4 separate regions of the Mus musculus genome follow, and regions 1, 3 and 4 are each reported to be linked to region 2. Evidence: microRNA targets listed by miRTarBase, many of them from high-throughput screens and not tested one by one. Region 2 holds a microRNA gene; each other region holds the end of a gene's coding sequence. Distances are from middle to middle.
Evidence for each region. The annotated mature microRNA mmu-miR-1942 reads UCAGAUGUCUUCAUCUGGUUG and lies in region 2 at 2,424-2,444, shown strand. An mRNA with a match to its seed (bases 2 to 7 or 8) in the 3' UTR can be bound and repressed. Matches are read on the target gene's strand: a 7mer-m8 pairs with bases 2 to 8, a 7mer-A1 pairs with bases 2 to 7 and ends in A, and an 8mer does both.

Region 1 (3,815 bases), not on the chromosome of region 2:
GCCCACTGACATGATCGGCCAGGGCCCCTTCCCATTTCACTAATTCAAAATACAAAGCTCCCAGACTTTCTTCCTTTACATCCTGCCATCCAGAGACCCGGCCTGGATGGACAGCCTGGAACATACCAAGTCCACCCCCATGTTCAGTAAAGGAAAGCCAGAGCTCCACAAGGACCTGTTGGCATTCTTGCTGAGCCTGGGGCAAACATCTCTCAAGAAGTAGAAGCTAGAGCCAGACAGAGGGGCTATAATAAAAGCAGATGCTGCTGATGCCTGAGCAGAATCTAGACTGGTTTCCAGGAATCCGATGGATATGCTAATTATCTTGACCAGCAGACTCATTCCTTCACAGTGCTTATATATGTCAAAGCTTGTCAAGTACCTTAAACACTCCATTTTTTTCCCATTAAAAAAGAAGATGCCAGGGGTGGTGGCGCACCCCTTTAATCCCAGGATGTGGGAGGCAGAGGCAGGAGGATTTCTGAGTTTGAGGCCAGCTTGGTCTACAAAGTGAGTTCCAGTACAGCCAGGGCTACACAGAGAAACCCTGTCTTGAAAAACAGAAGAAGAAGAAGAAGAAGAAGAAGAAGAAGAAGAAGAAGAAGAAGAAGAAGAAGAAGAAGAAGAAGAAGAAGAAGAAAACGACGACATGAGTTGTCATGGTGGTTCACACCTGAAATCCCGTAGAACCGATTGAAAATTAGCCTGGGCTACATAGTGAGGGGCCATCTCAAAAATATATTTAAAACAATGACCTAACTACTTAAATGTGCTTACTAAAATCATTATCATCACATTAGTGGAAAATCTCATACACAGTATTTGGGAGGCAAAGGTAGGTGGATCTCTTGTGAGTTTGAGGTCAATTTGGTCTACATATTCAGTTCCAGACAAATCAAGGCCACATAGTAAGACTGTCTTAAAAAAGGAAAGGAAGGAAGAGAGGGAGGAGAGGAAAGAAAGAAAGGCCATTTGCTAGGCAGGTAAGATGTTAGAAACACAGAAGGGCAAGGAATAGGTCTAATGGGACCGCCAGCAACCAGCCATGCTATGTATAAGATAATGAAAGGTTAATGACTCTGGGACGCAGGTGTCCACCCTGAGCTGGGCATCAAGTCCACAGGTCCCAATAGAAACTGGTAGGGTTGCCTGCCTCATGGCCTGGTACAGGCGGGCACCAGTACAATAAACAGATATAAGATGAATAGTGGGGAACATAGAAAAACTAAGCAGTGTGTGTGTGCTACGGAGAAAGGCGAAACTGGAGATGTGATTGATGGTGGTGACGGATGAGAGAGGGCTGGTGGACACGCTGTCATTGCCCAGGAAGGTTGGCAGAATGGCAGCCTGGAGCTTATGCTGATGCAGACTCAGCTCCCCAGACCTTCTGCCTGGCCTTGAAATCCCGCTAGCTCTGAGCAACCATGGAAGCCCAAGATGAAGAAAGGTTTGCTTTCTGGATTAGACCACCTTAAAGGTTCAGGAAGTCATGTTGGTATCTATAGTCCATGTTGCTGCCCCAGGATGGAGATGCAAGTCTGTGCCTCTGACTAATGATTTGACGTCCCTGGGCTTTGCTGCCTGGGGTGGGTGGGGAGGGGGGCTCAGGTGGAAGCATGTTGTTGCGAGCGGCATTTGTAGCCACCTGAGGCCATGTTGTAGCACCTGCCCAGGGACAGCTGCTGTGAGCCATGAATAGGTTAGTGGCTCTGATATGGCCAGCCCACTTGATGCCTGTGGTTACCACTAAGGCAGGCTGCCTGAAAACACGTTAAAGTCTGTGGGTGTGGGTGTGGGAGAGCTGGCCCCGCCCCTCACTGGCTCTTCCTCAGTTGATGGCTTCTGGTATGGAGAAAGGCTAAGAAAGACTCCTCCTCCTCCTCCCTGTGGGCCACTAAGAATTCAACCATGTTCCAGTGAATATATGGACAAAACAAAATGGACTTACCTTTTCCTTTTGGGGGGGCAGAACATCCTGGGGAGGGGAGGGAGCAGATGTGGGAAAACTGGGAGGTGAGCACAATCAGGGTGCTTGATGTGAGATTTCCAAATAATTCATTAAAAAAAAAAAACTGATACAATTCCTGAGGAAGGCTCAGAACAACCCTAGCTCTTGAGTGCTTTACCCAGAGCAGAGAAAATGGGCGCCAGGGGTAGGTTATGCACCCTTCATCCAGGGAGCCAGTGCCCTCTGATCTAAATGCCCTCAGTCAACACATACCTGCACACCACACACTAGGTAAATGTGGGGTCTGATCAGGGATGCACAGAGCCGCTGTGAGGCTGAGGCCGACCTCGGCCTTCCTAACCCTCCCAGTTCAACCACAGGCTAGAACCTGTATGGGAAAGAGCCCAGCCCAGGCCAGCCCAGGCCAGCCCAGGCCAGCCCAGGCCAGCCCAGGCCAAGGCAGACCACTCAGCCATCGCAGGCACAGACTTGAGACCAGACAATGTGGTACTGCTCTTTTTTAAACAAAACACTGTTTTTATTGACACAACCTCAATGTTCTATATAAATATAAAGTGCTGTTTCCAACGCCCCTCCCTGGCCCACAGGGCCGGGAGGAAGTTGGGGAGAGAGCGTTAAATGTCAGTTGAACACAAATAACTTTTCAGCACCAATTACAGCGAGATGCCCACACACACACACACAAAAGTCAGATGTCCGTAACATGACACACACGTCACTTCCTGGCTCCCCTGGGAGCACAAGGCTTAAGCTTTGGGTCAAGGGCTGCACACCCCTAGACATGGTTTCTGCTTGTCACAGCTTGTTTTCTGAGCCCTTGGGTGACCAAGGGCTTTAATATAGTAAATTAATTAATTAAATTAATTTCTGCAAGTCGAAGGAGGGAGAGCAAATAAGGGCCAGCCCTTATGCCACCTCAGAAGAGCACCATATCAGAGCAGCCGTCATCCTGGATTTCCTAGCACCCCAGTGGGACGGCAAGATGAGGAGGGAGGAGCTGGGCCACAGCAGCTTCCCCCAGGAGTCAGTCAAAGCCAGAGCTGTGGGTGGGGCCAGGCTGGGCTTTGCCTCAGTGACACAGCACCTGGGTCTCCAGCTGTAGCAGCTGCCCCATGAAACTGAAGTTGGGGGAGATGACTCCCCGACGTTGCTTAACAAAGTCAAAGGCCTCGTCCAGCCGTACCCGGTGGCTCTGAATCAGGTATGCCAGGCAGATGGTGGCTGAGCGAGAGATGCCAGCTTGGCAGTGCACCAGCACCCGGCCCCCACTATTCTTCACCGAGTCTGAAAAAGAAATGTGGAGCCGAGAGTCAGACAGGAAGGTGGACAGAGGAATCAGGTGCCTGTACCTTCTCCCCTACAGTTCCCACAGAACCCTGGGCTGAGGCTCCCCTACCTATGAAGCTGATAGCCTCCTGGAACCAGGCACTTATCTCCACCATCTGGTTATCTTCTACTGGAATGCTCTTGTAATGGAAAAGACCCTCAAAGTGGTTGGGGCAGCTGGCAGAGACATTGAGAACTGCTGTGATGCCGCAGGCCTGCAGGCCCTGAAGATCTGAGGAGTGGTTGCAGCTGCCCAAGTACAGGTAGGGCAAGATTTCCACAGGACCACCCTGGAGGAGGAAGGGGACGGTGGTGAGACCTCACTCAGCCTTGTGCTGGAGGGCTTGATCCAGACATCTTGGATTGGCTAGAAACAAGAGAAGCTCTAGGCCTTCTGACCAAGGACAGAATTAAAAGTCTTGAGGCCACAAGGGGACATATGTTCAGACACTTTGTGCCACATATGCCTTAAAGTCTGTATGAGGATATATACACGTTCACACCATTTGCAGGTCACACA
Region 2 (3,815 bases):
CCCTCTAACTCCCCAGTGCTGGACTAAACATGCTACCGCACCCCTCTGCCTGGTTTGTGGGATGTTGCAAGCTAGGCAAGCATTTTCCCAACTCACATATGCCCCCAGCCCTCCATTTCTTCCTGTGATGTCACCAGCAATCTCTCTAAGCTTATTATCCCCAACCCCGCCCGCTCTTTCTCTTAAATGTTGGTCTCACTGTATTACCCAGGATACCTTAATTGCTCCTTGGTTGAAGTTATCTTCCTGTCTTGGCCTTTAAACTAGCTGGGGTGGGGCCGTGCCGTGCCACTACATCACATTCCCTCCTCCATCTTTCTAAATTTCAGTTAGTCAGGCAGTTCTGGGCTTTTTCTCTCATATGCCTCAAAATCCTGCAGTTTCCATTACCAAATCTTAAGCCATTTCCACATTTTGAATTGTTTGTTTTGTTTTGTTGAGACAGGGTCTCAACTATACATCCCTTGCTGACCTGGGACTAGCTATGTACTGGTTGTATCCCTGCTGCATTCAAACTCAGATCTGCCTGCCTCTGCTTCCTAAATGCTAGACTAAAGGTGTGTGCCACCACACCCTCCCTCCAGGTGTGCATTTTCAGATATTTGTGACAGCAGCACTCCATATCTCATGATATTATCCACATCAATTTCCTTGGTCCTTTGAGACCACAGCAGGCTAGAAGCCCAACACCCAAGTATTGGTGGGGTCCTCCCTGGAGGCATTCTGGAAGAATCTGCCATCCCTCCAGCTGCCCTGTTCCTTGGCATATTCTGTCTCCTCCCAGTCTCAGACTCTGTGTCTTTCCCCCTCTCTCATAAAGACACTCTTCCTTAGACTTCGGACCACCTAAATAATTCAGAATGGATTCTTAATTAGAGATCTGTCTCCAAGGAAGGTCACATTTATGAATTTCAAGGGCACAGACATGTTTTGGGAGCCCACCACTTAATTCCAGCTTCAGACTGCCCTCTAATATTTGATTGATGTAGGTCTTAAGCATGTTTTCTTTATGCCCTACATTTATTACTGCGTTTTCCTTGTGGCTTTATGATGTAATGTTAGGAAGTACTTTAGACCGTTGTATCTATTTTTTAGTCACTAGGAATTTTATTTTTTTAATGTATGAGTGTTTTACCCTATGTATGTGTGTGCAGCTCTTGCATGCTTGCTGCCCTCGGAGGCCAGAAGAGGGTGTCAGCTCTTCCTGAACTGGAGTTTTAGATGGCTGGAGCCACCATGTAGGTCCTGGGAACATGGGTTCCCTGAAAGATTAGTAAATGTGATTAACCACTAAGCCATCTCTGCAACCCAGTCAACTAGGGCTTTATCTACATAAGGTGTGTAGCTGTCTTTTGCTACTTTGTGGGTTCTTCTTTGACTCCCCCCCCCCCTTTTCACCATTTCAACCCCCCGCAACACTAGATAGGAAAGAAAAATAGGTAGAGAGGAAAGGAAAGAAATCCTGGATAAAGTCCGGAGTCAGAAAGAGAACATTATCTCAGACTACTTCTTGCTGATTAGGTAGCCATCAGTATATCTAATTTCTTCTTGTTGTTTCTTCTTTGAGCACATCTACTTAACAAACCATGACCAACAACACACAACAACCCACCAATAACGCCTCACCTCTTGGGGCCCTAGCATTTATATACACTCTAAAAAGTCCCAGAATTCCAAATGTGGCACCACACAATTACAGAAACTACCTGCAGCTGGCAAAGTCGTGCCTCTGCTAGAGCATGAGGCAAATCATAGTCAGCTGCTGTGGACAATCTGAGGCAGCCCCATATTCCACACCTGGGATTAAAACGAAAACATAGTCTTATAATATTTCTGTGTCTTTAAAGAAACAAAAACTCCAAAAATTTCCCTACAAAGGTGTCCTGTAAATTTTAGAATATATATATATATATATATATATATTTCTCTTTCTTTCTCTCTCTCTCTCTCTTTCTTTCTTTCTTTTTTTTGAGACTGAGTTTCTCTGTCATATCCCTTGGAATTGGGGATCCAAAGTTCAGTTCCCAGAGCAACAAGTGCTCTTAACTGCTGAGCCATCTATCCAGCACAGGCTTTTGAAACTTAGTTTTTTGAAACGGTTTCTCTACATAACCCTAGCTATCCTTGAACTCACTATGTTAGACCAGGCTAGCTTTGAACTTCGTTTATCTGCCTCCCAAATGCTGGGATTAAAGACATGTACCACTACACCTAACTGGTGTACACCTGGCCCATATTTGTAAATTTTTTTCCCCCTGAGACATGTTTTCTCTGTGTGGCCCTGGCTGTCCTAGAACTCTCTCTGTAGATCAGGCTGGCCTTGCTTCCCAAGTGCTGGGATTAAAGTCATGTGTCAACATTGCCTGGTGAGACTGGATATTTGAATAAAGAGAAGAGGCCTATTTAATGTTAGACATCTAACCTCAGATGTCTTCATCTGGTTGGCCTCTTGTAAGGAGGGAGGGGCTTTGGGCTGCAGTAGAGCCTGGTAAATAGCAGCACATGGGGAGCTAATAGCTGTGGAAGAGAGATCCTGGGAAGATCCAGCCGCACAGAGAACAATCTGCTCTGAGAGCTAATCCCGTCCCTGGAGGGACAGCACCCCTGTGAGACTACATTAATCCTTCTTAAACAGCTAATTACTTCGCTTAAGGTCTGCTGCCTCAATCCCTTTACCTGGAGGAGTTAAGCCTCAACAAGAGTTTTCGTGGGGACAAACCATATTCAGACCAGTGCAGTGGACACATTTTTGATTAAATCATTTCCCTCCCCTAGAACATCGAGGTTATTAGTAGTTGTTTTTGTTTTTTTTTTTTGTTTGTTTGTTTGTTTGTTTGCTGCTGCTGTTGTTGTTGTTAAATAAACTGCTATAGATGAGATGGCTCAGATGGTAAAGGCACGCACTCCTGAGCCTGATGGCTTGAATCCATCCCCAGGACCCACATGGTAGAAGGAGGGGGCAAGTCTTCTGACTTCCACTGTACAGCACACGCATATAAATAAATAAATAATAAATAAATAAATAAATAAATAAATACTTTAAAAGGAGACTAGTACAGTGAGGAGCTTCGTGTCAGGGTCACTGTCATGTCTGTGACTATTGTTGACATTTCAGATTTTCAAAAATTTCAAAATTTCACACCAAATTGCAGTTACTGTGTTGGTAAAAGTCCAGAGGTCTGGACCTCTGAGCCTTGTTAAGGAGATGGCAAACAGATGTGTGGAGGTGTCCGTCAGATGTAACATGTATACAAGCAGGAAACAAGAGCCCCCCTTCCTGTGTGCCTACTTAGGAAGCAAGGGTCATGTGTTTTACCGATCCGTGTGAGGGACCACCATGGTACAGGGTTGATGGGAAAGCCAGGGTCAAAGCATGTATGTAGGATTTTACGTTAAAAGACGGAAAATCAAGTTCCAATTAGTGTTTGCTTGATTTTTTTTTTTTACCATAAGGAAACCGGAGGAACAGGAAGTGATTATATTTCACACTGTGTTTGGGATCACAAAGGGACAGGATTGGAGGAAGACTGTTAACTCTCTACTGTTGATATTTGATTTAAATGACGACACACACACACACAAACACACACACACACACACACACACACACACTTTTTCCTTTTTCTTCCGAGACAGACAGTGACGCTAGCCTAGAGGGGCCTAAAACTCTCCATGGAGCTGGAGATGACCTTGAACTTCTGGTCTTCATGATTTTTCTACTCAAACCTGTTTCTTGTTTTGTGTTTTTAAAACACCCTCCTCCCCTTGAGCCTCCAGTGCTGAGGGTAGAATCCAGGGTCCCTGTGTGCTGGGCT
Region 3 (3,815 bases), 22 Mb from region 2:
TGAGGTTGGATGCCAGCCATTTGCATATGAGGACACACCAGGGCCGGTGGGCAGAGAACAGCCTCAGCCTTGGGGGGGGGGGGTCATCCTTGGGCAGCCGCTCTCTCTTCTTTGTGAGACAAGCTCTCACTGGCCAGGAACTTAACAAGTGTCCTGGGCTGTCAGACTGGCCCCAGCGATCTGACTGTTTCAGCATGGGAATTACAGACAAGTTATTAGGACAAGCAGTTCATGCCCTGAGCTATCCCTCCAGCTTTTGTTTGCTTTACTTTTTGGCTTTGCTGGCCTGGAACTCATTATGTAGCCCAGGCTAGCTCCAAACTCCTAAAGATCCCCATGCCTCCACCTCTTGGGTGCTGGAGTCAAGGCACGCACCACCATGCCTGGCCATTTCTTGTTTCTTGAAACAGGGCTTGGAACTCTCCATCCTCCTGCCTCAGCTTCGGAAGCTCCCGGATTATAAACGCGCACCACCATATCCAGTCTGTTTTAGTTCCTTTTGACCCAGAGAAGGGGTACTATGCTGAGATAGATCTTGGTGGGCGGAGGGACCTTCTTTCTTCAGACTTTGCATCCACTGCCCTCCTGACTCTGTGGTGGGAGAGACAGTAGTCTGGGGACTTGGATTGAGAGGATGTGAGGTAGGGGAGGGGAGAGAGCTGAGGCTGCTCCCCGGAGAGAGAGGTAGGCGTGGTGACCTGACCATGGCACCTCTCTCTCTCTTTCTCTGATGGCTCTCCCTTCCTCCAGGTTCTGAGCAGTCCCTGAGCACCCGGAGTCCAGCCAGCACCTGGGCTTATGTCCAGCAGCTGAAGGTCATTGACAACCAGCGGGAACTGTCCCGCCTCTCCCGGGAGCTGGAACCATGAGGAAGGACTGGCTGGAGCAGGCACTCTCTCCGAGGAAGCCAGAGCCTGTGCAACCAAGAGGTCCAGAGGCCAGCCACAGCTGGGCAGGGCTCTCCACAGAGCGGACTCAAGGCCCTGGAGTGGGCAGTGTCGGGGCAGTTGTCCCTGTGATGACTGTCAGCTATGGAGATCTTTGTTCACGGCCAAGGAAAGGGGGGACATTGAGGCCATGCCGTGGGTAGGAGAGCTGGGAGGTACAGGACTCTGGATCAGTAGAGAGCCCTCCCACCGGGCCTTCTGCGCATCTGCACGTCTGTACATCTGCATGTTTGCAAGTCTGTACGACTGTACGTGCAGCTGTACCATCCAGTGGTCGCCAGGCCTCGTGCTTGTTTTCACTGGGGCCAGTGAGCTCACATCTGCACAGTTTGTGTGTGTGTGTGTGTGTGTGTGTGTGTGTGTGAGAGAGCCCTGGGTGGGGCCTTGCCTGGGAGAGGGTGGAGAGTTCTGCTTTTCTCTCCACACATCTGAGATAAACAGCTGGGTGTAGGCAGGGCTGTTGCCTAGAGCGGTGGTCTCAGAGGAGTTGTATTGTTTCCATAAATTAACAAAGATACGTGTGTGTTCTACCGCCTGGGTGTGTGGCTGGGAAAGCTGGTGGAGGAGGTTGCTCCCTGGGTACAGAAAAGCAGACACCCACCATCTATCTCGGGCTGGGCTCCAGGGAGGCTAGCGGTTGCTCAGATGGGCTCCAGTGTTGTCCCAGGCACTTGGGGGACCCTCAGCTCTCTGAAAAAACAAAAGAAAAAAAAAACCATATATATATATATATATATATATATATATATATATATATATATATATATACACACACACACATACACAGAGACGGAGAGAGACACTATGAGAGTCCAGCTGCAGCTAACATCCTCTATTTTCCCCTCCCAGCAGATAGCTCCTGATCCTGTTAGGTGTCAGATGCTGAGCAGGGGCCTCAAGGGGGTGAGAGAAGAGACTAGACAGAAGACTGGGAGGCCTAACCAATTTCTTCACCTTGGCGATGAGTGTCCTGCCCCCCCAACGCCCCCCCCCCCCATCCCACATGGGCTGTGGAGGTTAAGGCCCTCTTTTCCCGGCCTCTTCAGTCCCTGCCTGGACACAGATCCAGGCCTAGAACCTCCACAGAGGACTGCTGCCCTCTCTACTCTCCGTGCTGGGAGCCTGGCAGCTCTAGACGCATCTGATCTGAAAGCTCCCAGCCTCTAGGATGACCCTGTGTAAACTCCAGGCAGCAGGACTCTCAGGTGTCTGAGGAGGTCTGCTCACAGCAGCGGGCCGGAGGCAGCTGGGGCAGCCCTGTTCTTGTCCTACGGGTGCAGTGGCAAGGCTCAGACTTGACACACTCCTCCCCCCCTGGCCTCCACACTGCCAGACACTTCACTCTGACGTCATGTCAGCGGGCTCCCAGGAGAGATCCAAGCTGTTGGCAAGGACTTTACACCTCAGGTCTAATGAACCCAGGTGTACCAATGGTCTTTCTTGGCCTTCGTTTGTCCATCTGTAATATGGGTATGATATCTGGTCGTTAAGTGACAAACAAGACAGCAGGTGTTGCCTTTCCCAGAGTGACTGTCCCAGTCCTGTGTGTGTGGCCCCGGAGGACAAGCTGCATCTCCCAGAGTAGAGTCTGACACAGCTCTCGGGATGGATTGACTGCCAGGGATGACCAAACCAGTTCCCTCGCCCGTGGGCAGGGAGGGAAGATCTGATGGAAGAGACCAAAGCTGAGCAATCATGAAATCAGGCCTAAGCATCCGTGAGTCAGGAAAGAGTCCCTGGAGCATTCTTGTCCTCCCAGCCATTGTCAGTGTGGCAGTGGAGACCATGCCTGTCAGTCTCAGCTCTGCTCCCATCATGGACTCGGGTGAAACCAGCCCAGCGATGAGACAGACGTTGTCCTCTCCTCGCTGGACACACCTACCTTCTGATCAGAAGTCTGGGCTCCTTGTGGGTCTTCCAGCTTAGACAAGCTGCAGCTTCCTAGCCATTCTACCCCAGGCTGGACCTCTTTGAGCCTGATGGGAAAGACAGAAGAACTCTCTGGACAGGCAGGGAGCACAGACTTGGGGAGTGGATGTCCGAGCCAGGTCACCGCTGGAAGACAGGAGGCTCAGAGTACAGAGTCCTCGTGGCAGCAGGCTCCTGGTGTTCAGGCAGAGGGTGGGGAACCTGCTCCTGCTCCCTAGAAGCCCAGGGTGCGTATGGGTGGGTGGTGGTGGAGACCAAGATCACAGGTCTGCTGAGACAAGGGAGAAAGCCCTAGAGCTAGCCTTTGAAAAACCTGTCACCTAAAGAGGTAGAGCATAGGCGTGTGAGTGTGTGTGGACAAGAGCTGAGCAACCATGTATCCAGGCCCAAGTGTGTGTGTGACTGTGCGTGTGTCTCTGCGTTTGTGTGTATATGTGTGTCTGTGCATGCTTGTGTGCCTCTGTGTGTGTGTGTTATGGATATATGTGTGTGTCTGTATGTATGTGTAGGTCTGTGTCTGTGTATGTCTCTGTGTGTGTGTATGTGTGTCTGTGCATCTGTGTGTTTTGTGTATGTGTGTGTGTGTGTGTGTGTGTAGGTCTGTGTCTGTGTATGTCTCTGTGTGTATGTGTGTCTGTGCATCTGTGTGTTTTGTGTATGTGTGTGTGTGTGTGTGTGTGTATGTCTTTGTGTATGTGTGTGTATGTCTCTGTGTTTGTGTGTTTGTGTCTGTGTGTGTCTGTGTGTCTGCATGTGTGTCTAGTGAGGAGAAGCAGAACGGAAGGAAGTTTCATTGCACCGGTCTGTGACCCTCCCCTTTCCCTTATGGTCCCTGTAAGGGTTATAGCCACAGGCTGAGCTGGGCTAGGACTTCGCTAGGGGAGGTTTTCCTCTAGCAGCGCACAATGCCTGGTGAGGGGTAGATAGGTTGGAGCCAGC
Region 4 (3,815 bases), not on the chromosome of region 2:
TTGACTAGTTAGTTGTGGTTTTTTATGCTTTAGCTTCGAATATCTTCTTGGGTCCTGGGCAACTAGATATGCCAATTAAGTCTTATTTTCCATGGTCAGATGGTTTTACTTGAGATATAGGATTCTAACTAACATGTCAAGAAAGTTAACAGAAATGTAAAAATACACTGAAACTTTAAATATAATTAACCAGGGTTCTATTTTTCAAAGAATCCATTTTTAGTATTTGATAGTGTGTGTATGTGTGTATATATATACAGATACATATACATGTAACACACACACACACATATATATACAGACATAAAATTCCATACTATACTTATTCATAACATGCTTGCATTCTCAATCTTTCTGGTTTTTATGTATATAAAGGTTTACTTGAAAGTTTTGCCCAGTCCTGCTATTTATTCTTAGTTCCATTAGTTTCAGCTCATGTCTTAATAAATATATTTGAAATTACAAATTCTATTATGTGTCTTAACCAGGTCTTACAGACATTATTGCACCGTTTTCAGTTTGAAATGTCTTAGCTTAGTATTTTTTTCCATTTAGCAGGTAGAAAAACTGGGAAACTAATATACTAAATATTAGATTCAATACTGATTCAATACTTATATAAGTAGAGACTAACTTCTGATAATACAAAACTGTGGTAGCATTTAAAGGATGTCTAACTCAATTTGGGAACAAAATTCCTGATGAAGTAGTAAAATCAGTAGCTGGCTTGACACTAATATCTCCTTTGAAGTCTTTGAGACCAATCACAGGTACAGTCACAGTGACATAGGTACACTCACAGGGACATCTAATTGAGCTGGATGATTCTGTTAGGTGACACCATCTTGACTCTGTGGTGCAAGTGACAAAAGCCTATATAAACAGCAGAAACAAATATATCAAAACACTGTAACCAAGTTTCAAGCATGGCAGGTGGTCAATAGGTTTTCAAGAGTCAGGAGAATATCATTAGCAGTATTCATCTCACCTTTATCCTTTTGTACTATGCTTGGTTCACATGGTTGCCAGCATTTCATGGGATCCTGTCTCCCAGTTTTAAGAACTTAGAATCAACCTGAAAAAAAAAAAATCCTAGAAACTGGCTGATTTGAATCACACCCCTCTATTTTTACTGCAGTCACTGAACAGGAAAGAGTTTGGTCTAAGAAAAGTAACCTCAGGCCATCACTTTCCTCATACATGGTTTATACTGAAACCTAACAGTAGGTGTGGAGAATGAAGGGATATATTCCAAAGGAGACTGCTAGTTCATAAGACATAGTGTTCTAGAGAAATAGTGTATTATATGTCCTGTGTATCTACATTATAAGTGAGGTGGCTACCTTGTGTCTGAAAAATCGACTATAATAACTTTAACCTTGCCATTACACACAAAGAAGTGGAAGGAGCCATTTTAATTGGGGTGATAATGGGAATGGGGCTTTACACAGGTAGAGAGGAGATAAAATAATTTTATAATTTGAACATATCTTTGTAATAAAGAGTCCTTTAAGGGAAAGGTAGAAGAAAGAATGTAAGATGCCTGAGAATTAAAAAAAAAACACTAATTCAAATACACAGATTTCTTTTTCCCCCTGAAAGATAGAACATGAAGTTGGATGGGTGGGAGGTGGAGGGAAAGGAGATGATATAGAAAGAGTTGGGGGTAGGGAATCGTGTAAAAAGAATAAAGTCAAAATATATTGTATGAAAAATCCAATAAACAACAAGAACAATCATTTTAAAAAGCATAATTAGTAGGGCTATTAAGTCATGAGACTGGCATTTAGTAAGAATCTATCTATCTATGTCCCTCTTCATCACTCACTTTAATTGGAACATTATTAGCCATTTCCAATTAAATGGAAATGACCTTTTTTGGAGAATATAGAGAAAATGTTGAGACTTTTAGAACCCTTGTGTAGTAACAACAGTAGGACTGCAGATGTAACACACACACACACACACACACACACACACTCACTTGCCACTTAGCTAGAATACACACTGACTACACAATGTTTTCCTAATCTAAATTTTCCTACAGCCAGGACAAACAGCTGTGTAAACCACACAACTTTCTAAGATTGAGGTGACTTTCTACATACTTAAATAGCAAGCAAGACAGAGAAACATTTAAAGCTTAATTAATAACAACAAGAACCCTTGATATGACAAGTACAGTATCTATAATATATTACAACATACATATTACAGTTAAATTATATGTACACATACAGAGTATCAAAATACCTTTTCTACTTTGGCAACTAAATACTCGAGATTAAAAATAAACAAGTTCAAACATTTCTACATACAAAATTTTTAGGTTTTCATTTACTAAAAATGAAATAGTACAAGTTTGCTACCCTAATATATACATCAAAATAAATACTTTCAATTGTAGAAAATAGAAATGGCTAAAAGTCTCAAATTTCTTAACATTATAACAACAAATAGTTTACCCTGAATTTGTAGTATGTTTTTGTTAAAAAATATATTTACTTAATCTTAAACTCAAGTCAATGTACTTTAATTCTTTTTGAAGAGACAAAATACTAAAGGACAGGTCTACACCAGCTAAGAAATAAAATTTACAGCCATATAGGTATAAATGTAATCATTTAAAACACAAATGCAGTATTATAAAAATCTATAAGACACCCAGGTACACTCCACAAAAATATAAATGCACATATGCATTCTACTGATTATCAAAAACTCTGATTTATGTAGCTTCTACAAAATGTCAAAGAATAGGAATTGTTTTCTTTTTTATGAAATGATCTCATTGTGCAGCTACAGGCTAGCCTCAAACCCACAGAACCTGCTTCTGTCTCCAAAATGCTGGGCTTGAAGGTCTTGCTAACACACTTGGCCTCAGTACTGTTTTCCTAATATAGTATATAAATATTTCTACCTCAACCACAAATATCAGTATCTGTTAGTAAAAAATGGAATATACATAGAAAGGTAGGCAATGTCATGTATTCAAGTTTCCAAGTTTGATTTCAATTCAAATATTTTCTGTAACTGATAAACTACATAAACAAAAGTAAAAAGATGAAGTAAACATCTTATACATTGAAGAAGTGCCCTCTATAAGGTCTTCCATAATGATGATAGTAAGTATCTGATCACATTTCAAAGTCTTCTGAGTCAGCAATTTCGTTTCTGCTACTTCAAAAACCATCATGACTTTCACCAACAACGTTGCTCTAGTGTAGGTTTACATGAGGCACCATGCCACAGTGAGAGCAGCGACAATACCATTCAAAATTGCCATGCTGTAGCCCATGTGGAAAGAATGTCCAGTCAGTTTCCTAGTGAAAAAGGGAAAGAGCACAAATTAAGAAAAGGGAAAAAAAGAACATGTAATTTGGTATGAGAAAACGAGTAAGATCTAAAATAAAACTAGTAAATACTAAAATACTTAAGATATCACAATGAGTTGTCATATCCCCCCCCCACCTCCCCCCCCCACCCCCCCCAGACAGTGTTTCTCTGTGTAGCCCTGGCTGTCCTGGGTAGACCAGGCTGGCCTCAAACAGAAATCCACCTGCCTCTGCCTCCCAAGTGCTGGGACTAAAGGTGTGCACCACCATTGCCTGGCTAGTTGTCCTGTTTTATACATTAGTGTATAAGTTAAAAAATACTGGACACTTGCAGGATTTGTACAGGATTATCCATCTTAAATTCTCTTTTAAAAGTCTTCGTAGGGACTGAAAAGGTGGGTCAGTGGTTAAAAGAGCTTCCTGCTCCTCCAGTGGACTGCCCAGCACCCAAACTGGGTGGCTCATTATTGCCTATAATAC

Region 1: the mRNA of Dusp2 is a reported target of mmu-miR-1942. Seed matches in the 3' UTR shown: 8mer at 2,658-2,665.
Region 3: the mRNA of Rapgef3 is a reported target of mmu-miR-1942. Seed matches in the 3' UTR shown: 7mer-m8 at 1,166-1,172, 7mer-m8 at 1,264-1,270 and 8mer at 1,372-1,379.
Region 4: the mRNA of Arl6ip6 is a reported target of mmu-miR-1942. Seed matches in the 3' UTR shown: 7mer-m8 at 1,943-1,949.

Annotation. Positions count from the first base shown.
Region 1 is chr2:127,337,019-127,340,833 of GRCm38, reverse strand. Dusp2 (dual specificity phosphatase 2) reads right to left here. Exons shown (of 4, transcript NM_010090.2): 3 at 3,366-3,585; 4 at 2,457-3,253. The coding sequence ends at 3,039. It also overlaps a transcript of Astl not described here. Among named protein-coding and RNA genes, the nearest start is that of Astl, 2.7 kb to the left of the region's middle.
Region 2 is chr15:76,214,250-76,218,064 of GRCm38, reverse strand. Mir1942 (microRNA 1942) reads left to right here and starts at 2,392; the gene lies at 2,392-2,454. It also overlaps a transcript of Plec not described here.
Region 3 is chr15:97,742,602-97,746,416 of GRCm38, reverse strand. It overlaps Rapgef3 (Rap guanine nucleotide exchange factor (GEF) 3), which reads left to right. Exons shown (of 28, transcript NM_001177810.1): 28 at 751-1,647. The coding sequence ends at 869. It overlaps Gm33531 (predicted gene, 33531), which reads right to left. Exons shown (of 4, transcript NR_168677.1): 2 at 2,830-2,923; 3 at 1,549-1,637; 4 at 1-591. Among named protein-coding and RNA genes, the nearest start is that of Gm33531, 3.5 kb to the right of the region's middle.
Region 4 is chr2:53,216,803-53,220,617 of GRCm38, reverse strand. Arl6ip6 (ADP-ribosylation factor-like 6 interacting protein 6) reads right to left here. Exons shown (of 4, transcript NM_022989.4): 4 at 1,397-3,323. The coding sequence ends at 3,230. Among named protein-coding and RNA genes, the nearest start is that of Arl6ip6, 27 kb to the right of the region's middle.